4 linked regions of the Alligator mississippiensis genome follow. The protein of the gene in region 1 interacts with the protein of each later gene in a biochemical or structural test. Links are inferred from orthologs where the notes say so. Each region holds a gene or a part of one and is shown on either strand. Other genes may lie near its edges.

The links. The genes of interacting proteins can lie anywhere in the genome.
Region 2: of the proteins of RIGI (region 1) and RNF135, one has a biochemical effect on the other in vitro, tested with the Homo sapiens proteins (6 studies listed by BioGRID, with this or other methods). The link is inferred for Alligator mississippiensis from reciprocal best matches to the Homo sapiens genes RIGI and RNF135.
Region 3: of the proteins of RIGI (region 1) and RNF125, one has a biochemical effect on the other in vitro, tested with the Homo sapiens proteins (3 studies listed by BioGRID and IntAct, with this or other methods). The link is inferred for Alligator mississippiensis from reciprocal best matches to the Homo sapiens genes RIGI and RNF125.
Region 4: of the proteins of RIGI (region 1) and TRIM25, one has a biochemical effect on the other in vitro, tested with the Homo sapiens proteins (5 studies listed by BioGRID, with this or other methods). The link is inferred for Alligator mississippiensis from reciprocal best matches to the Homo sapiens genes RIGI and TRIM25.

What each region holds. Positions count from the first base shown.
Region 1 is NC_081826.1:167,106,824-167,114,642, reverse strand, and holds the start of RIGI (antiviral innate immune response receptor RIG-I), read right to left. Parts: upstream 3,019-7,819; 5' UTR 1,358-3,018; intron 600-1,357; 5' UTR 499-599; intron 194-498; exon of another isoform or gene 1-193. Other genes in the region: E3 ubiquitin-protein ligase Topors, read right to left, coding at 6,151-7,819.
Region 2 is NC_081831.1:6,997,472-7,005,083, reverse strand, and holds the start of RNF135 (E3 ubiquitin-protein ligase RNF135), read left to right. Parts: upstream 1-4,605; 5' UTR 4,606-7,612. Other genes in the region: ADAP2 (arf-GAP with dual PH domain-containing protein 2), read left to right, coding at 1,001-1,063, 2,005-2,082, 2,592-2,810.
Region 3 is NC_081826.1:81,058,999-81,066,333, reverse strand, and holds the start of RNF125 (E3 ubiquitin-protein ligase RNF125), read left to right. Parts: upstream 1-4,328; 5' UTR 4,329-4,343; coding exon 4,344-4,498; intron 4,499-7,335. UniProt on the Homo sapiens protein: E3 ubiquitin-protein ligase that mediates ubiquitination and subsequent proteasomal degradation of target proteins, such as RIGI, MAVS/IPS1, IFIH1/MDA5, JAK1 and p53/TP53.
Region 4 is NC_081831.1:7,643,650-7,651,536, forward strand, and holds the start of TRIM25 (E3 ubiquitin/ISG15 ligase TRIM25), read left to right. Parts: upstream 1-4,880; 5' UTR 4,881-4,947; coding exon 4,948-5,559; intron 5,560-7,887.

The sequences.
Region 1 (7,819 bases):
GTGCTCCAAGGAGGAAGGAATCCCCCACCCTTCTCAGGGCTGCAGCAGCAGAGACCCAGGCAAGGATCTTCTACCCAGCCCTTTAAGGAAAAGGGTACAGCTGTAAATTGAATTCATAGTCCCTCCAATTAGAATAGCTTCTTGGATATCAGCTGACTCGGAGACAAAGAAAAAAAAATAGAACAGACTGAGCCTGTAAGGGTGGGAGGAAGAGAAGAAAGGAAACCGAAACTTGAAGCCTGTGCAAAAGAGGTGTGGCCAATGCAACTGCCAGGGTAGCAGCCAGTGTGTGACGCTAGCAGATGCAGCAAAGTAGGAAACGGGTGAGCTAAATATTCACTTTCCCAAAGTTACTTAAAGAAAAAGAAGAAGGGTGCATGTGCCTGAAAGCTTGCAAATAAAGAATATTTTTTGCAACTCTCTGGTTGGGCTAATAAAAGATATCACCTCCCCAGGAGTTCTGATTTAAAAAAAAAAGTCACACCAACCATGCCATACCTAGGTATGCAAGCAAATCCACAGCCAGCTGACTCAAAGGCAGTCAAATAACTTTGATTTGATACAACAAGTTCCCCCTCTCCTTCCTTCCACCTCTGTCCCTAGAAAGATTTGAAATAATCAGCTGCAAGATCCTAAATCTTAAGATTCAAAAATCCCTTCCAAAGAAACAAGTGTAAGTGCCGAGAGCTGGTGTTTACACAGATTTCTGAGTTAGGACAGCTTGGCAAATTAAATCCTCTCAAGAACATAAATAAAACAACAGGAAATTAGAAGGTGCTGGTTATAGCCATGTCACTCTAAAGACATAGACAAACACTGCTCTTTTGGTAAATGTGGATCTTTTATTAGACCAACTGAATAGTACAACGCAGGCACAGCTCACTCTGGGCAGAAGGCTCTGGGAGCGGGGACTATGCCCTCCTGCTGCTCGCCCAGCCGGGGCAGGACAGTGCCACTGCAGTGCTTCAGACAAGTGACGCACAGCATCAGAAGCCGCTTCAGCCTAACCACACCTCCTGGACAAGCCATGGCCTTGCCCTGCTGTGCCCCGGTTGGGCGAACAGCCGATCATGAGGGCAGGTGCACGCACCCAGGTCAGGAAGGGGCTGGTGGCAGGCTATGGGGAGTTTTAGGGTGGCTGGAGCTCCCCCATAGCTGCCGCTTCACTGCGCTCTGCAGGGCCGGCCTGGGAGCACATGCCCGATCCCATGCCCTCCTGGACTGGTGGCCTGAGCCCCCCCTCCCTGAGTCCCGCGCCTCCCCATCACAGCTGGGCAGCTTGTCCCAGCCCCAATCCCTCCCTCACTGCGGGGGCATTGATCTGCCCCACCCTTCCCTCCCCCCTCAACAAACTTACCAGCTGGAGTCAGCTGTGTCCAGCGTGGTCAAGGACTGCTGCCTGTTCAGTCTACAGCCAAATCTTCAAACTGGTGCCTAATCTCTCTGAATCGATTCGGAGGCTTCCAGTTCAATTTGGAGCTTTTAATGGGTCTCCAGATTTGATTCTGATTTGGAGCTTCAGCCACCAAATCGGGCCGATGTCCTCTGAATTGAATTGGCTACCGAAGCTTCGCACAACCCTGATGCTAAACACATGAAGCATACCTATAGTGAGGAAATGGAACTAATAATTTCTCCTGCTGCATTATACAAGGTTTTATGAGAAGATCTTATACTTCTATACACCTAAGTTTTTTTTATCATAATTGGAAAAGTGAAGCTTTTCTACTTTTTCAACTCCTAGTTACAGTTGCAGAAGTTTCAGCTGCACTTCTTTAAATAAATTCTGTCATTGAACTGAAACATTAGCTTCAGTGAATATGAAGAAGACGTTCTCTTTGCACTTGAAGGCAAAAGATGATTTAGCACTTCAAAGGTGTTAGCCAGTGACTTTCAAGTTCTACTGTTTACCATCTTTAAAAGATGAGCAGTAAATATCTGATTAATATTTTCAAATTAAAAACATAATTGCAGTCAACAAAGACCTCAATCCCCCTTGTCAGGTTCCAGATTAAAACACTGTACACAGGCATGACTAATATGCAAGAGATGGTCTAGTAAAACAGTTTCTAAAAAGGAAAGCACCTTGCTAGTCTCTTTTTAAATAGGCAGAAATCAACAGGAGCTGAAACAGAGCAAAATTTCAAGCCTGTCTTCACTTGCATTATGTCCAATCCCATACAAAAAATGCACACATTAACAGTACATTGTTTCTCATTATGAAAACAGTTAACTCAATGGTTATTAACTTTTATAGACTCTAGGCACCCCTCAGAAAATGTCAGCACTTGGTTTTCACCCATTTTTGACTACAGAAAAATAATAGAGCAATTCTCCTGTTACAAAGAACTCAGAAAGATGGCATCACGTCACAATGTTTTTAACACCATGGATTTCCTGTTTGAAATCTCTGGGTTTATCTTGTGAAGTACGTTTGCACTTAATGCTAAAATTGTGTGCTACCCTCAAAAGGATCTCAAGTCACTCTGGATGAGAATCACTGGGTTAACCAGTTCCATATGAGGGCTAAGGCAGAAATGTCACTGAAAGAATCATCAACAATAGACAATTATACTTTTTCAGGACTCTGCTATCGGAAATTATTAGGGAGCTTGAAACTACACTGAAAATATAAGCATTCAAGGTTAACAAAGAAGATACTATTTTTATACGGTATATGCTAGATTTAGATATAGCACTATATGCAACAGTAGTACTGAATTGTTAAAGAGAATAATTAAACATGTTCTGCAAGTTATAACCTAGACTGAATTTCTGAGGGATCCTGAAAATATACCTGCATTAATTCTGAACACAAACAGCTCAACTATGCTAGAAGTTACCAGGATAGTCCTTCAAATGGTGTTGTAAGCCTATGGCAACTTTAATAAAGATTTGGACAGTTAAGTATGTTGCTTCAAAAAAATAAAAAAGAAATTAAAAAAAAAAGGGGGGAGGGGAGGAAGTACAAAATGCATACAAGATGTGGAAGCCAATAGACTGACGTCCCTGAATATAAACACACCTGGAAGCCAAATGGTCAGAGGCTGCATGCTTTCCACCCCCACCCACCCCGCCCTTATACCAGCTCAAGCCAAGAGCCCCTTGGGCCACACACTGCATGGGCACTCCTCACCTCCTCCTTCACAGCTGCATCATGCAGGCAGGAACCCCAGTTTCACCCTCAGGTCCCTGGCCCTGCAAGCTGCACTGTTCCACACTGCCCCGTTCCCTGGGACAGAGGCAGGAAGTGGAAGCTGGAGGAGGGACAGGGAGCCCTGAGACTCTCTGGGTGCTGTGATAGTGGGAGCGACTGTGGCATAGGGGGCCACAATTTAACCCCTAATGAGCGGCCAGCTGGACAGCCCTGACTTAAAGCAACAGAATCAGCTAAGCATTTAAAATGATGAGTGTTTGTAAAAGCATGTTCATTTTTAGACACAGAAATAAGGTTTTAGTCTGGACTGTTCCTTTACAGATTGGATTTTTGTAATGCGTTTATTTTAAAAGATCAGAGAGAACTTCACTTCATTTGCTCTTTCACAACCAGAGATATAGACTTTAATAGGGTAACCATGCTCCTGCGTATTCCATATATAGTTAGCATACACTAGGATATAATAAAACTGAAAACTTAAAAGATAGCATTGAAATAATTTAAACATTTTCCTCTTGCATGTGCCTCAACAGTTCCCACACCAGATTATCATTAGTCTGGAATAGGTTTCAACCCCTCAGGCATTTCTATCTGCTCCTCACCCATCCTAGTCTGAATCCATAGAAATCACTGCCACTACAAATATCTTTCTCCTATCTTCCTTCCTTCTCTAACTGAATCACATTCCAGCCATTTAATCCCATATACAAACACCTAATCCCTCACTTGCATGACTGCATTTATTCCTCGTTGTCCCCTTCTCCATTTTATGTACTATCCTTATGTTGCCAACCATGCCTTCCCCTCCTTTTGTAGATTTTTTTTTAGCAATAATTATCCCTTTTTAAAATCGGTTACCTCTCAACATCCTTCCTTTGTCTTGCCCTATGATCATAAACTCTATTGTCTGCAGCAAGTTACATTGTAATTCACAGGTCTAGATGTTATACTCTAGATTTATTTATAAAATTGTGCAAAGGCACCTCTGTTAGGCACTAGGAACCTACTGCATGAATTAAAATATATGATAATATATTTTATGAAGTATTGTGCATGCATGAATATCCAGCCACGGAATGATTAATGAGACCTTCTGGGAGCTCTGACAACACAAAAGGCAATAGCCTAATGGTTCAGTAATAATGGCAACTGAGCCATCTTCATTGATATTTTAGTGTATATAATGCATCCAGAAGGCCATGGAAATAAGGACAGGTTAGCAAACTGCTTACAAGGCCACAGTTAAAAACAACTGAAAACCAAATAATAAAGATATTGACAAATGAAATTGAATTATTCTTGCTGGAAATCTAAAAGTTTGCTGTGACTTTTACAAAAAGAGAGAGAGAGAAAATTACAGAAGGAACATGAAGAACTTTGTAAGACGACCCTATATTTACTGTTTCAACGTTTCTTAAAATGTTACGCCAGTAATTCTTAGCCAGGGAACTGCAGCATACTGGGATACCTTGAAACCCTTTCAAGGGTGTCACCAAGTGCCACGCAATGTTAGCAGTCTTAGGTGTGCAACCTTGATTCACAAGATAAACCCAGAGATTTTAAATAGAATTCAAAACACTAAAAACATTCTGACCTGTTGTGGTCAGAGTTCTTTGGAACAGAATTGCTCTATTATTTTTCTTTAGTAAAATTTTGAGTGAAAACTAAGAGCTGGCATTTTCCAAGAGGATGCCTCAAATCTATGAGTCATTACATTAAATAACCATTTTACAAATGAAAAGTCTGTACCTGCTATCACAGGAACCCAACATTACTAGAACTGGGGGGTGAGGGGCAACTATTTTGTTCACTTGCTAGCATCTTAGCTACTGTCAATTCATCCTTCACTTTTGTGTCATCCTTCACACAATTCCAGAGGACCTACATAATCAACAGGAAAAATGGGGCAAAAAAATTAAACAACTCTGGATCAGATGAATTTAATGATAAAGTTCTTGTCTTTCAATGAAACATTAAGCACATTTATGCCTTTCAGTGCTTGATGTGCCAGAAAAGCCAGAAGCCTTTTATTTATTTATTTTTAACCACTCAGGACATGGTGCAGAGAAAAACTGAGTAACTGTTAAGTCAAGTAGCAACCAACTACATACCCACACTATATTTTGGTTATTTTGGAAAGGCAATGGCTACAGTTAAATGTAATAATCCTGAAGCTTTTGACAGTGTAGGTAGAAACAAAGGAACAAAACCAAAAAGACGTGAAAGGCTCCGATTCTTCCATTCAGTTACATTAGAAAACAAGAAACGTTTGATGTGTGGCCTCTACCTTGCCAACTTACTTTTAATGAAAACATTTGTGTCTCAGATATACTATTTTCCACCTACACTGAGACAACACAGCAGTCTGAAGATAAGAGACACATGATCTTAGCCCACAAGAGGCAGGCATGCGGAAGATCATTACACTGGATTTAAAATCTGTTATCTTATTGCTTTATTGGGACGCCAACAGAATTCATGTTTACTATAATGGTAGTCTGGTTCAAGGTTTGTACAGAAATTGCTGGCACTTTTTTGGCAGAAGTCAAGCTGAAACAATGCAGATCAAAGAGGATAGCAGAACCAAACCTGAATTTATTTTGTGAATTATACAATTTCTCTTTTATAAAATAAAAAGAACAAACCAGCAGAAAATGTATGTTCTGGCTTTAGGGTTGTTTTTTTTTAAAAGACACAATATTGAAAGATTTTGTGGCTATATCTTACATAATATGAGAATACAGTATGGCTTTAGGAAATTACACCTCCTAAAATTTACAAGTTTATTTTGAAAAACTTTTAAGTTACTAACAATATTCTACTTTCTTGTACTTAAAAGTGCATACATTCAAGGATCTCACACATGTCCCAGATATGTTCTAAACAGTCTTATCGCACAGAAATCACAACCAGGGTTTTGTTTCCAGGGAAAAATATGTCTAAGCAAATTAATAATTTTAAGAATGATTTTAAGAAGAGCTCAGTGAAAAAAGCTACATCTTTTTTTCTGCAGTGTCAAGCCAGTATGATCTGTCAATAAGTTTCTTTGGCAGTCTTAATATTAATGGTGGCCTCCCCGAGTTATCTACAAATGATGTCCTGGGAGAAGGCAAATGGCTGGATGCTTCCATCTGTGCAGTTTCAACATTGATAGGCAGAGTTTCAATTCCCAATGTACTACTACTACTACTACTGCTACTACTACAACTACTGCTGCTGCTAACAGCCACAGCAGGAGTCTGCTCATCTGATATTTTTTGGAGCCGGAGATCTACATTTCCAATGTCATCAGCCAGGTCTTTCCTACTGTTAGTAATACGATCCTTGTTCGATATTGCAGTTTCACCAGTTACTGCATATACATCCTTATGATTGCTTGTGTCCAGGAGAGATGATGGAGATTCGTTTTCTCGCTCGTTTAACTGAGTTATGGTTGTCCAAGAAACACTACTGTCACATTCCACAGTTTCACATATTCCAATCTCTTTATCACTATCACTGTCAACTGTAATCACGACTGGAGAAGGAGGTGCTGAATTACCTGTATGGTGTCTTCTGTGTTTTTTGTGCTTTTTCTTTTTCTTTTTATGATGCCTAGTTGTGTCAGTAGCCTTTCCTTCATATACAATCTCCACACTCGGGCTTCTGATTTTTTTCTTTCTCTTTCTATGCTTCGTTTCATTGCTTGCTTGGTTTTCTTGAGGGCTGTTCTCATTTTGGTAGCAACCACTGTACTTTGACATAGGTTTCTGGTGGCCATTTCCTTCTCCTTTAGAAGGGCTTGGTGCCTTCTCCTTGTGCACACTCTCCAAGTGGCGCGTCTTGTATTTCCTTTTTCCACCAGGCTTTTCACACCGCATTCTATCAGCCCCTCCAGATGTGGTCCTAGATCTATTACTAGATCGACTCCTTGACCTGCGTCTTTCATAGCAGTAATACTGGCTTTCATTGTGTCCTCTTTGATTTCGTGTATTTGTCCTTTCCGAAAAAGACTGTATTCTATATTCTGGACTTGCTGACTGCCTTGAATAATGAGCTCTGGCCTGAGCCCTTCTTCTATATGAGGACTCATAGCCATCTCTGTCCATGCGTCTACTGTAGAAAGTGTATCCCCACTGATACCTATTTTGGTAATTTTCTCTTATATAATAGTGATCACTCTCTCTACTCCTGGATCTTCTTTTACTATGGCCATTACTGCGGGATCGTGACCTGCTAACACCTCTAGATATAGTGCTCTCGCTACTTAGAGAGAGAGTCAGGCTTTTTCTGGATAAACTTGTGTCTCGAGTTCTTGATCTCCTTCTGTTTCTTTTACTTCTATGCCCGCTACTATCCCTGCTTCTTGGTAATCGGTTTTTTAAGCTTTCCTTGCTACGATGTTTCCTTTTGGATCTATGGCTGTGACGGTCTCTGCTATGAGAGTGCTGGGAAGACGACTCGGAACTCCTTGACCTCCTCTTTCTGGATAATCTATGGTTACATGGAGAGCACACACTGTTTTTCCTGGTAGAGGAACCCTGCAAAGAGTCCCAAGTAGATGCATCTCTTATTTTATCTTCCTCACTCTTTTCCGCTTCTGCTGTCTTAATCAAGGGTGACATGCTGCCTTTACAGATACTTTTATTATCTTTAGATACTGGGGAGTGCAGTAATGAGCAC
Region 2 (7,612 bases), on another chromosome or scaffold:
TGCTAGTAAGGTTTGCGTGCGCAGGTAGTGCTATGTGGGAAGTGGTGCTGTTGCACGCAGGTTGAGTGGTGAGCCAATGTGTGGTTGGACAAATGCAACTTGTGTATGTTAGCAGTTGTTTAATGGAAGCAGTAATAGTGAGTATGGCTCATAATCCTCATTTTAGAAATATATCATGGCTTTTCTAGCTCAAAATTGAAAATCAGTAGCATAATTTCATTTTTGCTTTTTTATTAAGCATTTTCCTTCTATAATTTCTCTAATCCCTTGTTCCACAGCTTGCTTAACAGTCAGTTATGATCTTGCTTTACAAGCACCAAGACTCTTCCTCATCTCTCTCCACTGACCTAGTTGCAACCAATCTCTTGGCACCTGGGCAAGAAGCCACAAACCCTTTTATACTTGTGTTTATGAGAGCACACAGATATTTACCTGAAGAAGCATCACAGTGAGCGCCATACAGAGAGGAATGTTACAATATGTTACTTATACAATGAGACAGACACTCTCTGGATTCTCCCAAACTAATCTGACAGCGTCCAGGCTATTTCTGGGTTTCGACTGCAGCCTCCCTCCCTCTCTCCACTTTTGTTGCTATTGCAGAGCTTGTCTTCACAGCACATTATTATTATAATAGTTCATGTTGACCGAGTGTGGGTAAAATTAACTTCTCATCGTTCACTTTAACCAGAAAACAGTTTCAGTTTAGCCCCAAATGGTAGATTATTTTTTGCAATGATCAAGTCATTGCAGAATGGAGGAACATCCTGTACTTAGTGCACAAAGAGTAGATCAAACTCAGGAGCTAAATACATCCACATTATCTGTTTAAAATTTGACCTGTAGAAACAAAAACATCTGTTTGTTTTTGCTTTAGACCTCCCTTTAATACACAGATAAAACAGATCACAAAAACTGTTGATGATTTGCTCTGATAAGTTAGAAGAGAAAGCTGAGTTTTTAAATGAGATGGTAGCCAATGTCTTTTTTGTTCTTCTAGCTTGTACCCAAAATTACGAGGAGTTATTTCAAAGAAGGTTACATGGAGAAAACTGGACCAACGGTAAATTCCACCTGAATGTCATGGCTGATCACCATTGAAAAGCTTAGCACTAGCCAAACATAACTTTTTTTCCAGAAGCAGAATGTTTACTAATGCTGTCATGATTATGATTAAACAGTTTGCTGGGAGCTGTAGTTAAGTGCATTCCAGTTAACCTGGATAGACTGAGTCTCAGTTTGTAATGAGCACTGGGGGTTTTTTTTTTCCACTTTTGCATGAGATGTAACTTTGAGGGCTCGTTGCAAACTGCAGGTGTGATGGAATAATTGGAAGTATTTCTGGAGTTGCAAAGTTACTAGTATTAGCATTGAATGTGGGTGGCTGTCATGTGCCCGTCTGTTGATTGCAACTCCATCATCACAAGATGCCCACTAGAGCAGAAACTTCCAGGCAGATTCCTCTCTTCCAGTGCACATTCTTGTTGTCTCTGCATATTCTCTGACTCTGCCTACACACCCAGCCTCCAGCCTGTGTCAGTACTGCTAAAAGGATCATCAGTGAAATACTTCATGCTGGTAGTGAATATGTCATTATTAAACTTCATCTCTCTCAAACCTTTTTGCAGTGCCTCATCCTGCAGCTTTACTATAGCAGGTCACATGTGAATTCTTACCAGCCAAAAAGGCAAGACTTTTCTTGACTGAATGCTTACAGCAGGGAGAAATGGTGCTGAACCCTTAGTGGGGCTGTATAGTTTAGTGTCAGCTCTGGCTTCCAACAGAAGGTTTGTACATTGGTAAAGAATTCATGGTGTCACTATTGTTAACCTTGAGAAGGAAGAGAGCTGAGGCTCTAGGTGTGTTGGTGAGTCATGGAACTGCATGAGAAGCTGAGAGTGAACCAGAGCATAGAGTTAGGAGGAGGTGGCCAAGGAACTGCCACGAGTGAGTGGAGCCCTGCTCCTGGGAGCTGGATCATTAAAGAGCTTATTCTTTATCTAGCACAAGGAGGTCTTCAAGAAGCGCTGGTTTAGCTTGGATTCACAGGAGAGGAATCTGATCTACTTTAAAGACCCATTGGTAAGGAGGACTCCTTATTTCATGACCAGAGCTGCTTGAAAGGGGCTCTTCATATCATACTGATCCCACCATGCATGTGATCACAACAGCTCTAAAATAATTGTGCAGATTTTCAGGAGAGTTGTGCACCTCAGGAGCTGAGGTGTTTGGAAAAGCTGGCCTGGGAGGGAGGGTGCTGACTGTTCTGGCTCTTTTGAGGAGTTTGTATTAAGTGACTGAACTTGTATCTCAGGTACTAGGGCGTATGGAGTCAGCCACCTCAGGTCACAGGGCAGATCCTTGCCCTCATTCTTTGTGCTTGGGCAAGAAGTTAGTAAGTTGGTGACAAAGACCAGAGAACTCAGCTCTCCTAGTCCTCTGTGTTGGGAATGCTTTGAGTCCCATCATACCTGGAGCCATGGTAGTGTTCCCTCCAAATTAAACCTACTTCTGCTGCCATCAAATGACAGTCTGATGTCAGCTTTGAGCAGCTGTGGATACCTGCGACTATCCTGCTTTCTCCCTCTAAGGATGCCTTTGAAACGGGCCGAGTGATTATTGGAAGCAAAGAGCATGGGTACGAAGTCCGGGCCAGCTTGCCCAGAGGAGTCAAAGGAAGGAGGTGGAAAGCTGGACTCACCATAGTCACACCAAAAAGGGAGTTTGTATTTGCATGCGAGAATGACAGGGAGCAGAAGGAGTGGATGGAGGCTTTGAATGAAATAATTTCCCAGCCCATGACTGCCTAAGGTGAGTGATGAGTTCCAGGAAACAGGCCTTCTTGGTTCACTGTTACATGGTGACCTTTTCTCCAGGTAGCTGATACAAAGGTCATATCAGTGAACACCGTGGGTACAGAGGCTTCTTTCCTCTAAAGATGCAGATACAGAGTTGACAGGAGAGGGCATGACCCAGGCAGACTGGTGTCCTTGCAGAGCTTGTGGGGGTCACTGCAGCAGGGGCTCAGTTCAAGGTAGCTATAGCTCAAACTGGAGACTACACCAGCCCCGTCCTTCACTCCTGGACAGAAGTACACGCAGCCTCTGCCTGTTGCTGATCTAGCCCCTGTGCCAATACAGGGATGAATTGGCCCTAGTTGCTTTATGAAAATGGAAGTATGTGAGCTTAAAGTCATGACCAGCCAAGAGATTTACAGAGATGGAATTACAGTTGTCCTCAGCATACCCTCCGTAACTCTCCCAACTGCACAGGAAATATTCCATGGAGCCTTCATCTTGAATGAGGCTTATTGCCACAGCTGAGAGCAGGAGAATGAATGCAAGAAGGGTCTGAGCGAAAGGGGGATGCACACGTCCAACTTGTCAGGGTTCAGAGGGTTAAAGTAATGTACAGTACTCTGAATTTGCAGAGCAAATCCAGACTATAGGTCCAAAGTGCAATTCCTGCCCTGTCCTGGGTTCAGCTTTCTGTCCAGCCCAGCTCTGCTTAACAGGAGACCTGGGGCAGGGAAGTAGGATAGAGGGTCGTGGCTCCCCATTTCTGGAGCTGGCTCTAACTTGCACCCTTAGCCTCAGCAGACCAATTCAGCTGTCAGGTGAGCTGGGGCAGAGAGTCCTTTGGCTATGTCCTCTTCCATAGCCTTTCCTTCTTTGGGCTTTGAGGTGCAGCCCTGGCTCTGCTGCCTGAGGCTGTCGCAGGCCAAGTGGGGGTGTATTTAGATGGTCTGTTCAGCTGGATTTGTAGCCAAGAGTTTACTTCTTGATGTCACATGGAGTAAGTCATAAAAAGCTCTGGGAAGCATTAATTTTCTTTGTCTCATTCACTTTGCATCAGAAGCCAATTTCAGGCAGCGCTGACAGCCAGTCAAGTTGCATTTGATATATCAGTTGAGAGGAAAGATAAACTACGATAAACTGAAAGATGCTGGTTTTTGCTGTTGTCTTCTCTCAGATGTAAGAAGGATTCCAGTTTCAGGACATATTCGTTCCTTGGACTCTCTACTGAGACTGTTTAGCTCACAAGAGCAATGGTGATTGTAGGTATGACCTCCTGCACTCCAAGAACCAGCCTGAGACAACCGACCTTACTTCCTGTGGGGCATCAGCAGCTGTTACATTATATTACAGCCTTTCAGCCACTTCTTACATGGACTGCATGAAGCCAGTAACCAAGAGATGATGGGTTGTGTATTCTGGGGTCAGGATCCACTGGGTGCCATTTTCAGGAGTGCCTAGCACTGGCCTCATTGAACTTTGCTCTCGTTGAAGTCAGTGCAGCTTTTACCATTGACTTCAGGAGGAAAATGAGGCATGAGCTGAACACCTGGACTTATTAAGAGGTGCTGAGTAGCTGCAACTCCTCTTGGCTTCACTGGATTTCTCACCTTCTCTCAGGACATGAACTTTTTATTACAAACCAGTCTCAGGTCCTTTGCTGTTTGTATTTCTGATAACATAAATCCCAAGTTCTGTAAAAATAAAAGATAGTTTTACCTTACTCAGACTGCTATAATGTCACATTAAGACTCTCCAAGAATCTCAGTTATCATCTGCATTTTGCAGCTTGAGAATCTGACATACAGAGGAGTCGCCAGTTTGTTTCCAAAGCAACCACTGATTCTGGGGGCCTGAGGTGAGACATCTGGAGCTTGTTATTCAGAAGTGCTGAGCTCTCCTGACTCTGGGAAGTTCAGCTGGAAGAACAGGTTCTAGATTCTCTTACCAATTCTGTCTGAGGTGGGCACAGAGTCAGATGCCACTTTTGACGTTTTAGCCAAAATACTGGGTGCAAGGGCACTCCGTGGCAGAGTCAACCCGAGCAGGGTGCAGGGCCTGGGGCAAGCCCATGCAGGGCCCCACCCCTGCTCCAATCCCATGCGCCCCAGACCTGAAGAGGCTACCGCTGCCATCTGTGGCGGGGGGGAGCGAAGCCGCCAGAAGCAGTGCGGAGTCACCACGGCAGCTCCACCCAGCTCCAGGGGGCTCCCCAAAGCGTGGGGCCTGGGGCGGCTACCCCGATTCACCTCCCCCTAGGGATGGCCCTGCTCAGTGGGTCAATGCCAGTGCTGGGAGCCCACAGTGCCACAGCCCGGTGTGACTGCTAATGGGAGCAGAAACATTGCTGTTCTGATTTTACACCTATTCTGTGCAGTGCTGAATGAATACAGGGAACCAGCTGAATGAACTGCCTCCTCTCCTATCACAACTAGTGCTGGGACATGTCAAGAAGTTCAGAGGTTTGGTTTAACCAAGCAGCCTAACATCCGTTGCTTTTCTTATCTGAACTGCTTACATCTGCAAATCAGGCTAGTTGGGAGACGGCCCAAGCTTCCTGATCTATGACAATCAGGCTGAAACGCTCAGAATAGTTCCCTCTCTTCTAGCTGGAATGAGGAAGTGGCCGTGTGTGTGGGGATAGGGGAACTATTTCTACTGAATGTTTTTTACATTGGAAAAAAAAAGATTTGGCTTAGATTCTCATTGTACTGCTCCCAGCTTGCTCATCCACACCCAGCCACAAGCAATCTGCATCTTTTCTTCTCTTTGTCCCCCCTCATAAACTGGCCTTTGGAACTACTTGTCCAGGAGCCTGATGAATTATGCTGGTGTCAGTTCTCCTACCTTTGAAAAATCATTGGAAGGAAGGAGAAAGCAGCCTCATCTTGCATCTGCTGAAATTGACAGCGAAGCTCCCGCTGACTTGAATGGTGTGTGGTGGCTGGTTTTGTTTCGGTGTTGATTCACATGTTTATTTTTAACCGTTGAGATTTTATCTGAGTTTATTCAAAGAGCACTGCAAAATCAAAGACTACATCAGTTCTCTAGGACTGCAAGGAATCTGTAGAGCATCATGCATAACGCAGGTGACAACATTTTGCCCAGTAAAAGCTTATCTCTACACTATCAGCCCTGATAACTGCTGGGGTGCAGAAGATCTGCTGTGTCACCAGCTCTCCAGGGAGTTGTTACAAACTGGATAACTCTCTCTGAGAACTGTATGAATGCAAACACAGCAAAACTTGTTGAGTTTCTATTACAGTTTTGTGGGGTCTGGAAAAGCTTTGCCTGCCTGGGATCATTTCCACATTTGAAGCAGAGAGAGGTCTGAACCAAGTTCTTGGATCAGAGTTCCCCAGAACTGGGGAGGTTTGAGTGGAATACTGAACTTGGTGGCTCAGATCTCCCTTGTTCAAGTGATGGTTTGGGCTTCCATTGTGACAGGTCCTGGTTACAGGCAGGTTCCTGTTCTATGCCATTTCAACGGATCACACTCTGACATGTGTTCATTAGCACAGGTTGAGTTTTTGTTTTTATTTTTTTGCAATCAGGATTCATGGTAGAGGTGTTATCTTTTATTAGACCAACTAGATTTTCTGCAAAAAGAAATTTCTTTAATTGCAAGCATTCGAGTGCAAACACCCTTCATCAGGCATTGCAGAAAAGACTGCAAAAGTTCTCCTGGGTAGAAATTAAAGCTCATATTTCATAGGAGAGCTGAAGGTGGTAAAATCTCCTGTTTGGAAAAGTTCATTTTATATGCAGATTAGGCTCAGAGAAAAGTTGGAATAGCCTGTTTACCTCACAGTTTTGTTGGTAAGCAGGATGAATTCATATTTCCTTCTGGTTATGGTGTTTCATATTTAACAGAGGAGTCAGTAGATGGGATGCTTCTCTGGGCAGGAATTTCTTATCAGGTGAGGCCTCTGAGCGTTGATGTGAGGTTCTGTGAAGATAATTACCTCAAACAAAGGCAGGAGTGGTATCTCTGGGCTTATGTACACACCATGATTTTTGCCCTTTCATGGGCTGCAACTATGTGTCTGTTTGCATGAGCAGGATTTCCCCATGCTTTAAAAGTCTATCTTGTGCATTAAACTAAAACTCCTCAGTTGTAGTTTAGTTTGGCTCTCTGGGAATTAAAGCATCATTCATGTCCATGGATTTGTTGGGTGCAAACACAAAGGCACCTAAAGATGTGCAAAGGAGCCTCTTTGTCCACCAAATGGCACTGCATATTTTTTTTTGTAGTTCACCCCTTCAAATTGCTTTTACTTTCGAATTGCTTCCACTTTTTTTTTCTTGTGTGGCTTTTTCTTTTTTTTCTTGTTTGCTAGCTCCCTGCTTCCACAGCTGTGTTGCAGGGCACAGGCACAGGGTGGGTTGGGGGAAGCAGTGCTGAACTGGGACCCAGCTTAATTCGTTTGAAAACTTAAGTGTGTGTTAACACAGGTGTGATGCTCCAAAATAAACAAGTTTAAATTTTATAAACATTTAATTTAATGAGGATTAAAAAACCCATGGTGTGTACAGGGGCCCTCTGGTTTCAGGTGGTCAAAGGTGCTTCCTCCTAGTAAAATTATGAAGATTTCATTTTTTAAAATTGTGTTAAAAAAAACATTTTAAAAATGTTATTATTTTTTGAGTTTTTTTGCTTGTTCCTATTAACATATTGTGTCCTTTTCAGTATATCTGAAACTCTGAGTTACTATTTAAAATTTTGTCTACAACAAAGAAAAGAGAGAACTCTCCATGCTGTTGATTGAGCGGCAGATCCTGTCTTCCATAGAAGACATAGGGGTTCCGCTCTTTTC
Region 3 (7,335 bases), about 86 Mb from region 1:
TTTTGTAATGTCTCGCTTTCCTCCACAGGATTCTAGATGTCATTCCTTTCACTTACCCATCATAAAACCCAGAAAGTGCTTCCATATCCTGCAATGGAATGGAATTACTTACTGCTTACAATACATATCAGCAATATATTGTGTCTGGGACTGTTCTCTGCTCCTAAGGAATGTGAACAGGTCATAATCACTGTTTCCAAGAAAAACACCAACTTTCTATCTATCGATCAAGTTCTTCTTTATCTATTATAATGAGATCTGAAATAGAGCTATTCCATGGGGAGGAAAGGGGAATATCTTTTATATTAGAAAGTTATCACCTACACTTTTTTAAACCTCTATACATTTTACTACTAGCTGTATGAGACTTCCATTTTATCTCTCCAGTGATAAAGCAATTTTTTGTTCCACACATTACAGATAGATGCTTAATTCCTTGTTAATATGTATTTTTAATAAAGTGAGATTTAATGGATTTCATACTTTATTCATGTTCAAATTGTCAGAGTGTGGTTAATCTTTAAGAATAGTCTAATTTACCAGGAAGGCTCTAGTCAGTCACGGATTGCTTTTTCTTGCATTGTCTTTGGAGATAATTGAACAGATAAACACTCCATTGGCTAATGGTACTGTTATCATGTTGCATCACTGAAGTTCGGGCTCATTGCCAAAGCGCCGTAGTGTCGTAGTGTCGCTGGGCATGAACCTTGATGGCAACACTACTGTGCAATAGTAACAAGCTACTGCGCAGAAGCATCTAAAAATAACTGCGCGGATACAGGACTGTGCAGTAACACTGGTACTAAATGACTGCAAAGTAACAATTGTGGAGTCGGCGGTTCGTGTAGATGCAGCCTCTGTGTAGCTTCAGACAGAAGGTGACTATTACAGTGCCTTGCCACCTGTGTATTTTGAGCAGACAGCTACTTTAGGAATGGCTGCAGACACACAACATGTACCCCGGAGTATTTAACCTCAATGTAGTTTTACCCATTATTTTTCCCTGAGTAATTCTACACCGAACTGAAGTGAGCTACACCAGCTCAGGTTTGTGCATCATAAGTTTACTTCTTAAAATGACAGAAATACACTGTGTGTCCGAGCCTCCCTCTCCTGTAAATCCACTGAGTTGTAATTTCCATGTGAGGCACACCTGCACTCCATGAGAGGATTGGCAGGAACAATAAAACTTTTTTTCTTATTCCTGCATTCGTCCATCCCCTAAAACTTCCTCTAACTTCATTATATATTTTGAGTACAATGAATGAAGGATTACATCCTGCATCCAGCAACAAAGACACTGACATTCTCTGTGTTCTTCTCATAAATAATATTACTTTTATTTGCCACATGCATTTCTAAAGTCTTTTGTATCAGTGTTGGATAAAACTATGCCAAATATACTTTTTCCCTTTTTGTTTCTTATTAAAGAGCAGGTTGCATTTTTTTATGCAAAGATACTGAACTACAGAAAATACTTATCCAAATTCATGATGATATTGACAAACTCAAAATATGTTAAGCAAATTAGGCTCCTTTTAATATGAAAAAAGAACAACAAATGGTACACTGTGCTAGAACCAGGTAGGAAAACAATCAGAAATTCCACTGACATAGGGAGGAAATGGAAGATAACTTCAGATTTCTTTACGATTTCTTACAGATTTCTGTTGCCCTTGTTTATAACCTGTTTCCTGATTTCCTTTGAATAACTAATTTCAAAACTCTGCCCCACCTTCTTTTCACGTAACGAAAGGGCTGTTTTAAAAACTATCTTTCAAAAGAAGGAGTTAAAAAAAATCTTTTATTTATAAAGTAATGTTGCAAATCATTACTAAACTGTATCCTAAGACAATGCTGCATAAATATACTGACCTTTCACCAGTACAGAAGTTATTTTATTTTACAGACCATTAATCAGTGAAACAACAATGTAACTATATCTGATAACCTACAATCTTCCTCCAAACTCATTGAGATTTGGAAACTAGCAAAAAGCAGATATACCAGGATGACTAACAGACTGCAAAATATTTACAGATTTAAAAAAAATAGTAAGAAAGTGTAAGCAAGCATAAACTGGTGAAATATTATTTTTCTTTACTCTTCTTACATGAGGATTCATTCCAGGATTCTTTTGCCCAGCCCATTTTAAAGAGAACTTTAAAAAAATTTAAAAAATTAAGTTCCCATTTTTATTTATTTTTATCGTACTTAGAAAACTAAAGGCTGTTCTTAAAAACAAACAAACAAACAATGCATTTCTTACAGTAGAAAATCATGTCTTGTTTATCTAGGAAGACTCTATGGAGAGGTAGTGAAGCAATGATTTTGAAAATAAAATGAAACCTGAGCTGTTGAGAGTGGAAAGGTCTTTATTCAGATCACTTGTAACAGTATTCTTTGTTAACTTTTGGAAGAACTTTTTATGTACTTTGGAAAAAAAGATATCTTTGTGAAAGATCCAACACTACAGGCATATTTAGTGAAGGTAGGAGAATTATATCCCTGACACACACATAAGCAATCCTCCATTGAAATTAGGGAAAGACCAGACCTGTGATACATGACAGTCAAAAGACAAACAAATAAGCAACAACAGCTTCCTTACATAAAAGCTAACTGAACTTTACTGTCCTCCCTTATATATCAAAAAGATACAAATAAGAAGGTTCGCAAACCCAGTTTTCCAAAATCCTTTACAGGTCACCCATGAGAGGTTTCTCTGGGTTATTATAACAAACCAACTTGTAAAAGTAATTACATGTAGGTATTCTGTTTACAGTATAATCTGCTGTGAGGCAAACAGCTCTGCTAATGCCAATATTTGTTTGATATTTTGGATTCCAGCCTGCTGGATTTTAAAAATCAGTCTTATCCAAAAGTTTTGACCCTTTCATGTATTAAAGGGTCTGTGAACTAGCATGACTAATAGAAAAGGGTTTTTTAAATATCTAAATACAAGTGTCTTCTCAGATGAGTGCCTTCTCAGATGCATCTGCACTCCAGTGCAGCTGCCCCAATGGCTGCATGAGGCAGAAGTGGGAGGAAAGGGAGGGATGTAATTTGTATTTCTTCTGTGCTTCCAGAAGTTAATCTGCTGCATAGCTGTCTGCTTCTGAAACAATGAACCTTTTGACACTAAGGACAAATTTTAAGAAATTGCGGTTCCTCCTACATTAGCAGCATCAAGGTCCCTGGCATAGCTAATCTGTTGCTTGTTGCTTCCATTTTAAGCACACCAGGCACATCTATACGAGACGCTTTACTGCACATTACAATGTCACTGCCTATACGTGCATGGGATTTACTGTGCAGTAAATTAGGCTAATGCACCATTAGCTAATAGCAGGAAATAGAGGTACTAAATTAACAGTGCATTACCTACTGTGCAGTAGCACACCGAGTCTGACCAGGCGCAATTTGCTCCCTGTCAGCCCAGGCTGCCTGGTGAAGCCCTGATGTAGGGGAAGCTGTGCCCACTGCAGGGGAAGCCGTCTCCCTGCCAAGTGGGGATCTGGATGGGTCCTGATCCCCATGTGCCCGGAAGAGGTGTGCTGGCAGCAGGGGCAGCAGTCTTTCCAGCCATGTGGGGATCGGGACCTGTCTGGATCCCTATGTGGCATGGACGCAACTCTTCCAACTGGGCAGAGATCAGGACCTGCTCCCGTACCCCGGGGGGCAGAGGGAGCTGTCCCAGCTCAGGGGCTGCTCCCTCACAGCTGTGGGGAGATCAGTTTGTGCCCTATGTATCTATACAGGCCACACACACACACACACACACACACACACACACACACACACTTTGGTTATGACATATATATATATGCTACATATACATAAAGCACAAGTTTTCATGGGTTGAAGCTTCCTTCACCAGACGCCTTCTCCTCGACTTCAGGCTATCCCAGCTACCTCGGTCTGTCACGCCACCCCGGGCATCAGCACTGTGACTGAGAGAGGCCTGCTCAGAAGCACATCTAACCTAAAGAGGAAATGCGAAGGGGAGCCTTGGGCATCTGAAGTGAGGGTCCTTGTTAGCTCGGGTGCTCTGCTGGGCACGGCTCTCCTGTGCAGAGTGTCACCTGGTACAAGTATCCCCACCTAAATAGCTCAGGGGAAGCGCAGGGAGGAGCAGGGCCTTGGGAAGCACAGGCAATAAGCAGCAGGGTCGGGTCCTGCCCCAGCTCAGGGGAGCGCAGAGAGCAGCAGGGCCCTGCAGGGCTGGGGGCAGGGAGCGGGGCGGCCGGCAGGGCTCGGGTTTCAGGCGGAGGACGCTGCAGGGCCGGGCCAGCCCAGAGTGACCTGGGCGGTGCGGAGGGGCGAGCGGGCAGGCGGCGGCCATGGGCTCCGCGCTGCGCAGCGAGGCGGCGGCCGGCGCCCCCCAGCCCCCGCGGGGCCCGGGCGGAGCTGCCGAGCCGCGGCCGCCGTCGTCCTTCGACTGCTCCATCTGCCTGGAGGTGCTGCACCAGCCCGTGCGGACGCAGTGCGGACACGTGTGAGTGCGGCCGGGCCCCGCCGCGCCGCGGAGCGGGGCAGGGAGGGCGGCAGGGAGGTTGAAGCACGGTGCCTGCGTCGCAGGGCTTTCAGCCTGCTCCCCCGGGAACAGCAGCGTTTCTCCGCCCGTGAAGGGCAGCTCTGCAGGGGCAGAGGATCGCACGGCTCCCTGCCCTGCCCGCTGTGCCACGGAGGAAAAGCAAAGATCCGGGGCTCCTCCTGCCAGCTAACCCCAGCCAGGGACAGGCACTTAAAAGAACCAGGTAACCTTTGAGGCTTAAAAACAAAGGAGCTAGAGCAGCTGGCAGGGCAGGGGTCCCAAGGTGCCCCCTCTCCCTTGCCTGCCCATGTTTCCGTAGTGTTTTCAGATCTTTGGGGGCAAAGGGCTGGAGTGGAGTGAGGAGTGTCCTCTGTATGGACATGGACAGTCCCTCCCCTCTGCTGAGCAAAGGCTGGAAATTTTGGCTCTGCTTGAGTTTGTCAACATGAACTGGGGTGGAAAAAAAACCCCAAAGCTGTATTGCAGAGGTTGCCAAACTTTTTCTTATTGCCTACCCCCTTCCAGATTTACTAGCTGCCCATGTAACCCTAACAGCATAGGTTTTGTGTTTTAATCCTTTAAATGCCAATCATTCTTATCATGACAAATCCGCCATTACACAATTTCTCCAGTGTACCCCCCAGAGATGTGTTGCATACCCCAGGGGCACATGCACCACAGTTTAGGAACCCCTGCTCTATAAAGGAAAATGCACGCAAGGATTATAGAGATAAGCACAAGGCCTTTACGCCAATCCATCCTCTTTCTATAGCCCTCATTAAGGTTCATTTGTTACCTCTGGAGTCATTCTGGCATAGCTATTTCAGATGGACACAGAGTCTGGACACCATTCTTCATGAATAAGAGTGCCTCCATTTGGCTTAGCCTACTGTGCTTGGAAAGTGGATTAAGTAAACAAGTATACTTATGGCACTCTTGCTCCAGAAGGTTTATGTAGCTGAAGGCTCCGGTTTAAATAAATAGACTGTTCAACCAGGAAGCCTACTTAGATGGATGAGAGATGATGAATATCGTTATTCATATGGTTGTCTAGATTGGATACTTGTACCATTTTATTTGGTTTTGTGTAACAAGTGGATATTTGTATTGTAACATTTTATTTGGCTTTGTATAACATTGTGTGTGGTTTTGTGTCATTTCTCCTTACTGTTTTCTGATAGGCTCATTATTTAGTAATCCGCATGTAAATAATGACTTCATCTTCACAGTTTGTAAAGACTATAATACTATTTTTATGCAGGAACACATTTAATGTAGTGCATTTTTTTTAAATATATTCTGTTACTACCAGTTTCACTCTTAAATAAAGACAGCTGGCTAAAATGTTTTTAAAATAGTCATTCCAGAATACAGACAAATAGAATGATGTTTTTAAACCCTCCTCCTCCTAAAAAATGCAGCAAAACCATGAAAAAAAATAAAACCAGAAGAACAACAACAACAACTTTTTTCCACTCCTCCTGGGGGCAGGAGAAAGGGGCAGAACAGGTCTGGAAGGACAGAAGGTGGAAATAGAGGCATAACAGGCCCTGGACTCTAGGTAGTGCAGCTACTTGTGGTGGTGGAGCCAACTGGCAGCTGCAGCAGCTGCTGTTTTTGTATCCCCCCTCTCCCCCCAGTTATGCTACTAGATGGAAATCTAACATAAATTACACAGATTGATCCTTTTAAAGCCATTAACTTCAATAATTATCTCCCAGATCTGATTGACACAAGTCATTTAGATTGCCAGTGAGTAGTTTTAGGGTTTGCTTTCATTGCAATGTTAATCTGAGTCATGCCTCAATTGCTGCCCCTAACTTGAGACCTAAAACTTTATCTCAGGTATGGATCAGGGTTACCTTAATAGCAGCCTAAGGAAAAAAGAATAAACCTGTGGGGAGTACTCACATGAGTCTCTTTACAACTGTGTATTTTATGCAGACAGCCCTGTGTGGCAGCACAAATCAACCTGCAAGATGGTGAAAGCAAGTATTTAGGTAAAAAGAGGTATGGGGGGAGAGGGTGGCATTATAGGCTTGATTGTTTTGGCTCTCCTCGGCTTCCTAAGGATTGGTCAGATCAGTAGCCACCCCCAGAATCTGTATACCATAAAAGGAGGCATATAGCCAGTTTTGCTGCTCCCTTCTCCAAGTGAATGGTGTGTGGCTTCAATGAAGCTCAAAATGCAAAGCTCTACTGTCCTTGTATCTGAGCAGCTTTGTTTGCACTGTTTACTCCAGCAAGCACAGGGAATACATTGCACTGGTGAATTGTGACACGCTTGTTGCAGGACAGGCATGCAAGTAAATCATCCCTTTCTGGTTTCATTCCTTCCATGCCATTCCCATGGTCTTAAAAAATAATGTGTTATATAAAGCTAGGACTTGAAAAAAATTACCAGATATTTCAATCAATTGTCCAGATCATATATTGCTTTTTCTTTTTTGGGGAGGGCATGGGGGAGGGGGCTTTCAACAAAGTTCAGGAACAATATCCTGAGAAGTTTAGCTTTCTTTTTTTTCAGCTCCACACTGGCTGTTCTTAAGTAAACCAGTTCCTTACTTACATTTCTGTTGAACAAATAATGTTGAATGGCAAATTGTTTTAAGGTTAGAACCTCAGATATACACCAGTGTTTGTTATAGCTGAAAACCTATCCAAACTTTTTATAGGGAGTGGTGGGGACAAGATACAGAGCAGTATAGGAATATTATCTAATATACCTTGATATAAAGCCTTTCATCCTTTCCCTTGGTGATGATTTAGCAGGTAGGGCAAACAAAAGGGTCAGAGGG
Region 4 (7,887 bases), on another chromosome or scaffold:
AAAATTGCTGTGTGTGGCTAGGAAGGATTATAGAGGAAGAAAACGGAATAGGGACCCTATTAAGTCCGGAGGAGGGCCTTCCACTAATGAGAAATTCGGGATGGAGTAAGGGGGCAATCCTCATAAATACCATGAATATAATTCCGGGAGGCATGTATCCCGTAACTTTAGCTGGATTAATTGCCACCGAGGTAAAAAATCATTTGGGAGCTCTAAACTTTCCCCAAAATTTAGAAGGGGGTATGAATAACATCAGGTACATAATATGGGGAATTAGTTTTGCCCATTGGACAGCACCCCCAAACACCCTAACCGCAGTACAGCAGAGATTAAGGAATGATTGTTTGTTTATCAGCACTTCTGAACAAGTAATTTGCTTGTCGTTAGAGGTAGCAGCAAATGTACTGAAAACTCCAGGAGTAAAAGCCTGTCTACTGCCGCTGGTGGGGCAGACACCCTGGGAGGTAGCTGATCAAATAGGAAACATAGTGCAGGAGGAAGAAATCAAGAAAAAGCCCAAATTAACAATATAGAACACCATGTGCACGCTCCTTACCATCCACAATCTAATGGGGTTGTGGAGAGACACACTGGTATTTTGAAGACACAATTGAAAACAAATTTAAAATCAATTTCCTTTAAAAACTGGGATGCAGTATTGCATGTAACCTTAATTCAGTGCAATAATGATAAAGCCATGTGGTTGAAACACGAAAAGAAAGAATTTCCAGTGTGGACATATAAGTATAAGAAAGATGATAAAGTGTGCATACACTTACCCAAAGAAGAAAAAGTAACAAAAGGTGGAATTGATCAATTGGGGAAACTTCCCAACATTTATTTTGTTTAACTGAGGAAAATCAAACACTAACCTCATGAAGCTAGGTCTCATGAGGACCTAAGCAATCATTTAATTTTGTTACAGGTGTCAAGGATTGAAGTGGCAACAGTGGGAGATCAAGAATGAAAATGATCCCAGAGATGAAAACTGGATGTGGCTAACCAATGCAACATTATGCAGACCAGTACCTAGACCACCCAACGTGATTCTGGGATATAATGCTGACGTATGGAATCTCACAATATATCGTTTAACTTGGAAACTGGACAATTAGTGATGTTGTAAAAGGACTATGGAGAACACATTACTTACCTGAAATTACTCAACGCCAGCAAGATCCTCAATCCACCATCTGCTTCGGTGTTAGAAGGACTAGCCATGGTTGGAAATGCAGTGGGGAATAGTGTTAAATCTACTATACATGAAATAGGATCGATAGGACAACAACTATGGGACACCATAAAGACTGTATTTTCGGGAAAATGGGTGATATATGTTATAATAAGCATCATAGGATTGTTTGGGTTAATCATTTTAGGAAAATTAATGTTGTGTATGTTGTCATGGAATTACCGTAATAAGTTTGCAAGGCTTAGTAATGAAATATAATTGTAATCAAACTGCCTAATGGGCACAGGGGCATGTCATATTGAATGAAATAGTTTGAATGTTTGTAATGGTTGCCCATTAGCCAGTTTCAGGAAGAAGACAAGATTTATCTTCTTATCTAGGCCATTGTTTTGGTCTACGTGCAGAAGGTCCTGACTTTGCTCAAAGTCTTAACTTTTGAATTTTAGCTTTAGAGGCCTTTAACAAAGAGAACCTAAAAATGACCCTTAAGCAAATATCCCGAATTCCGAGAGATCAAACCCTAGGGCCTTTGAAAAAAATTGGAAAGAAAAGGTCACTTGCAGTGGTATGGAAGTTCCCCAAAGTAATTAAAATGATCAACAAAAGAAACTAATTACTAAGCAAAAGAATCTGTTGAGAAAGATCCGAGCCCAAATTTGGGAGTAGTGACAGGTTTGGGTCAGAGGGGCCTAGGACGGCAACTCACTCAATAAAAACTGTAACCTACTCTTCCAGTTTGGAGGTGACTTCACTTGCAGAACAACGAAGGAAGAATCGCAAGTGTAGACCAGATCAGACTGATCACCTGAACCACCCTCTCTGTGAACACGAATCTCTTAGTTCACGCTGAAGCTGCAGAGCACCCAAAAGGGACTGAAGGAAGGGGACTTAGTCCTATCAGTATTGAGGCCAGCCCATTGAATCGTATTGCTGAGGCGAGCCCATTGAACCGTACTACTGAGGCCAACCCATTAAATTGTACTACTGAGGAATGAAACCATATTTAGGTGTTTGGCTTCTCGGAATTCTAGGATTGTAAGTATATTATGAAAAATAATAGTATTGATTCAAATTTAACTTTTAGTTGTAATTGTAGTTGTTTTTGTAATCTAATTCTTATAGCATTGTTTAGGAAGGAAGTGCATTCGGAGCATTGTTTCCGATATATGTAATTATTGTGTTCTTAATGTTTGTGGTATTTCTTAAAGCTAAGCAGTGTTATATGCGTAGCAAAGAATTTAAAAATAAAATTGTGTTGTATGAATTAAGTGTGTAATCATTGTGAAATCGTGCAATCAACTAGATACTCCCCCAGCCAGTGCATCAAACGAATCAGTAAGTTGTGTGGGATCTTCTCTATTCCATAACCCACTAGAGACACAAGACTTAGGCACTGTTGCCAAGATGAAGTTTCCAAAGCATCGCCAAGAGATTAGATTCCAGTTGTCCTGGAAATGATTTTGATGGGATAGTAAGAGAAATTATACATTTGAGTTATACATTTGAGTTGCAGTTTCTCTTGCTAAACACTCAAATGTCTGGACTTTCCATCTTGGAGGAAGTTAAGACCGTTTTGGTACGCACACCCTGGTAAAACAGGTACTTTACAAACACATGATTGGACTTGACCACAGCCTGGAAAGAAAACACTTTACTTTCAGGCAGACTCAGCCCCACACACAGTATTAGTCACCATTTGCATTTGCAGATAGCAGCTGCTGTGTGTTCTTGAGTTTTCTATCAGGAAGCAAAACGGGAAGTGGGTGAACACCGACCTGAATGGCATGAACCTGCCTTACTGAAGCAGGCAGATGTGGCCAAGCCCAGAGCCCAATCTGGTCAGCCTCCACCTCCCAAAGTTATACCGTGCCTTTGGTTTAGAAACCAGACCGGCAGCTCAGGAGATCAGACCCTCAAAAGACGTTCTATGGTTACAATCAAGTCGGGCACATTGCAAACCTAGCTTCCTAGTGGTGAGACTCCATGACTTCTGCAAGCTGGACACGAAGCACGTGCAAAAAAAGAAAGACAGCTTCCCTCTGGGTGTGGAGGAGGTTTCTATTTTTATTGTGATCGAGTCAAGTTTGTTCATCCCTCCCATAAAGAGCTCTTAAGAATGTCTAAGCGATAACCTTCCCCCCTGAGTCAGTGTGAGCCACTCCCAGAGCGATGCTAGAGCACAGCTTGCGGGGAGGGGGGCAGAAATCTGAAGGGGCCTGTAAAGATCTTGCCCACTTGTGTTAGTAAAGCTATCATGCCACTTTTTTCTGCACATGTAGATGTTCTTCTGCTTGGTCAAATTCAAACTAGCAATACAGGAGTCACACAAGCGCACCACAATCTCACTTAACAAAAGCAAGGTTTGAGCTTTCGTGGCTTTGTAAACAAGCTGATTTTTTTTTTTTTTAAAAGGTCTCATGATCTTTAAGCCAAGTGTATCAGGGGAATCTGACTCATGCTCTCTAAATGCATGGGGCTGGCAAGAATACGGATAAGGCTTTTCATTCCCAGCCCTAGGCTGCTGTATACCATGCCCCTTTTCACACTTTTGCCACTCATCCCTACCTCTTGCCCGTGTTACCAGGTTTGGTCAGCAACCTTTCAAACCTTCTTTGAGATCCTTGTAAGATTTGGGAAGTGCAACAATGTCTGACTATTGTCAAAACGCTGGTGCGCAGAAAATGTCATGTTCAAATGGAACGGGGGGAAGTGGTATGCGCTTGGCTATGAGCCATTTGCTCTGACTGTGCTGCTGGTCTAAATTAAGGCCATTTCTCCCCCTGTTTGAAACAGGCTGGCATGATAAAAGAAGCATTGAAATTCTAGCTAAAGCAGAGCTTTTCACTTGCTCCTCCACCTAAGGCAGCAGACGAGGGTTTGGCTCTTTTGAAGAACAAGCAACATTTTCCTGGCCTGAACAGGGCCCCAGGCCTCCTGCTACCAGATTCCCGAAGGCAGCGATTCCCAAACTCTGACAGATTGCGCACCACTGATTAAATTGACACGACCTGAAGTACCACCAGCACATTTCTGTCCTATAAAGTAATTAAAATAAGCCTGTTAACGCGTACCCCTGACAGGTCATCTGTGTACCACTGGTGGTACCCGTACCGCAGACTGGGCGCTGCTGCCGTAATGCTCGACCTTTGGCTTTGGAGGGCTGGGTGGCCAGCTGAGGCGCGTGGCCCTGATCCAGCACCTAGAGCGGGCACAGCAGGGCCCTATCCGGCTGCACAGAGGGAGCCAAGGGGCAACCTGGCCTGCAGAGGAAGGGGCACGGCCGGACTCCCACCCAGCCGCGCAGGGAGAAGGGGTCGCTGTGCTGGGAGACGGCGCGTGCTCCCCACCACGTTGGCAACCCTGTCCGGGGGGCACCTCAAAGACCCCCGGGGCTAGGTTGGCCAGCCCGTGCAGAGGGTGAAGACCCGGGAGGCTGCGGGGCGGCTCGTCCCGGCGCCAGAAGCCCCGCCCGGCCCGGCCGCACCTCGGGAAGGTGAAGGATACATTGTATGCACAGCTACATACAATGTATGCACATGTGTATATACAATGTATGCAAAGATTCACATACATTGTATAAGATATATAAAACAAAGAGCAAAAAGTTTTGCATCGTCCCACAGCGCGGATTGAAGAGCCCCGCCCGGCCCGGGCTGCAGAGAGCCCGGCCCGGCCCCGCTGCACGTGATTGCCGGGAAGTGCCTACCTCTGCCTCTGCCTCCTAGTTTCACTTTCCGAGCCCGAGCCGCAGAGCCATGGCCATGCTGGCGGGGCTGGAGGACGAGCTGACCTGCTCCATCTGCCTCTGCCTCTTCGAGAGCCCCGTCACCACCCCGTGCGGCCACAACTTCTGCGCCGCCTGCCTGGACATCACCTGGGCCGGCCTGCGGGACGCGTTCAGCTGCCCGCAGTGCCGCAGCCCCTTCGCCTCCAAGCCCGAGCTGCGCAAGAACACGGTGCTGTGCCGGGTGGTGGAGCAGCTGCAGGTGGGCACCAATGCCCCCGAGGGTGGCGAGCCCGAGGGCAAGAAGGGCTGGGAGCCGGAGGGCAAGAAGGGCGGCGAGCTGGGCCCCTCGCAGGTGGCTTGCGACAGCTGCCCGGAGGCGGTAGCCGCAGTGCAGACCTGCCTCACCTGCATGGCCTCCTTCTGCGCCGAGCACCTGCGCCCGCACCACGACAGCCTGGCCTTCCGCGTGCACGAGCTGAGGGCCCCGGTGCACGACCTGCAGCAGAGGCTGTGCCGGGACCACCACAAGCTGCTGGACTTCTACTGCCCCGAGCACCAGAGCTGCATCTGCTGCATCTGCCTGGTGGGCCACAAGGCCTGTTCGGCCAGCTCCCTGCCCGAGGCCAAAGCGCAGAAGGAGGTGAGCGGGTGCATGGCGGTGTGTGTGCATATTGGGGATGAGGACCCCGGGGAGCAGTCAGCAGCCCACCAATTCCAGGAGGATCCCTCCCTCCGCTTGTGGATGGGGCTCGAGGGAACTTAAAGAGCGCAGGCCTCGAGCCCCCCATCTGGCTGCAGAAGTTGCAGGTCTTTCCTCTCAGCTGGGGGAAGAGCAGGCTGCAAGATGGGAATCCTCTCCTTCTTCCCTGCTTTGTAGACAGGACACTTCACCTGGGAGCAGGCTGCTGCTTGGTTGAGGCTGCTGTGCCCTCGGGAAGAGGTGTTGGCAGCCAGCAGTCATCCATTTTGGGGCTGGGCTTGCTGAGCCGTTACTTGATATCCACCCTTTCCCCTGTATCCCTTGTGCCCTTCCCAAGATCGTAAAATTGCCCTAGGAAGCAGGGAGGAGCCTCTGGAGACTGGGGCTAGGGGCAGCTTGGGAAGCATAGGCTCCCCAGGGGCCACAGGAAGGGTGGGCAGGGTTAGCTATGCCACACCGCAGTGGCTGCACTGTCTCTGCTGCCCTTTGGAAGTGCTTTTTCCACCCAGGGCAGGAGCGTAGAAGCAGTCTTGGATGCTCAGAGTGCTGCCTGCCCGGTCACAAGCCCTGCTTTGCCCAGGTGCGTGCGCTAAGCGGGGACACAAATAGATCTGCAGCTGTCATGGCTGTTGGCTCTGAGCTCCGCCACATCTGGCTCCCCAGGCACGGTGTCTCAGCTGGGGACAGCGCTTGAACGCACACGTCCAGGACCATCGCGAGATGGCGGAACCGCTCTGCCCTGGCCCTTGCCCTCTAGCAGCAAGCTCAGTTCTCAAAAGGTGCTGAGCCCCCAATGGTCCCTGCTGAATCAGAAGCATTTGGGACCACAGAAATCAGGCTGTGTATCTGAATCTAGAGGTGCATTGATGTTCAAAGATGCTGTGGGAAGAAGCAGAGATCAGAAAGACGTCTCAACCCACATAATTAGGAGAGAACAAGTTGGGGCTGGAGGCGAGGGTGCGAGGGGAAGAATGGGTGGAAATTGCAGCAGTTGGGGGCATGAACAGCTGGTGCATCCGGTGCTGGGTATTGCCCTGTTAGAGGAGGGCCCTGCCCTATGACTCCTTCGCATGCTCTTGGCTACGTCCCCGGCGTGCTTTAACCCCACAAGCCCACACAGGTCCTGGCTTGGGTGGTACCACTCAAGGACTTCAATCTGACGCGCAGCTTTAGGCATCCCAGTCTGACAGCTAACGGCTTCCATTTGTATTTTGGTAATCACTGGAGACTAGCAGTTGAATCCTGTGCTTTGTTAGTAAAGTGGCAACTCTTGTGACTCACTGAATCTCAGCAAGGCCTGCGGGAAGGGTGGGCAGGAGCATGAACCTGCAGGAGACAACACAAGTTTGTCCCCCAAGCACTAGCCCAGCTTGTAGCCAGCTCCTTCCCAGTGGCAGGCCTCTGGGTCTGCCTATACAGAAGAGAGCTTTTGCCAAAGTTTTCCTTAAGACGTTAAGACGTGGGGAGTTCAGGAGCTGCCTGGTAAGGCTGTGCAAAATTTCACCGGCAGTTTCTTTTCGACCTCGAAATGGAGAGCTTCGAAACAGCTTCAAAATGAAATGAGGCAAGTCAAAACATTTTGAGTGTGGAAGCTCAAGCTGGGCTTGCCTGCAAGGAAACAGAAACTAAAGTAAGGAGAGGGAGGGGGAAGCGGAGGAAAGGAGTGCTCTCATTATTGACTGTGCAACTGGCCAGGACTTTGATCCTTTCCTGAGATCCCTTCCAATCCCAGTGCTCTGGGGGAGGGATGGGAAAAAAAAAAAAACAGCATAAAAAAAGGCAGCGTTGTTTGAAGTGCCCTGCTTTCTGCATTGGTGTCAGTTGAGTGAGGGCACACCTTAACACGTACCCCCCTCCTGCCCATGTCACAAGTTTTGCCTTTCAGCAGCCAGAAGTGCAGGGCTCCTGGGTTCTGGGGCCCTGCACCTATCTCCTGGACAGCTGGCAGGCTTCGTGGCCGCAGCAGGGGCCAAAATCCCTGCAGCTGTCACCCCGCTGTGCCTTAGCGCACACAGTGTTACCCACGTCACGAGTTCTGCTTGTCCACAGCTTGAGGTGCAGTTCCCCTGCACCTAGATCCTTGAAACTTGGCAGGCTTCATGGCCCCAGAAGGGGCTACCATTCCTGCAAGTTTCATCCAAATCAAGCCAGAAATGACAAAAATTATAGGCTGTTTTGAGCTCCCCCATTACAGCCTATGGGTGGGACATCGAAACAGCAAAACTGTTTTGATGAAACGAAATGAAACAGAACAGCAGTTTCGAATCG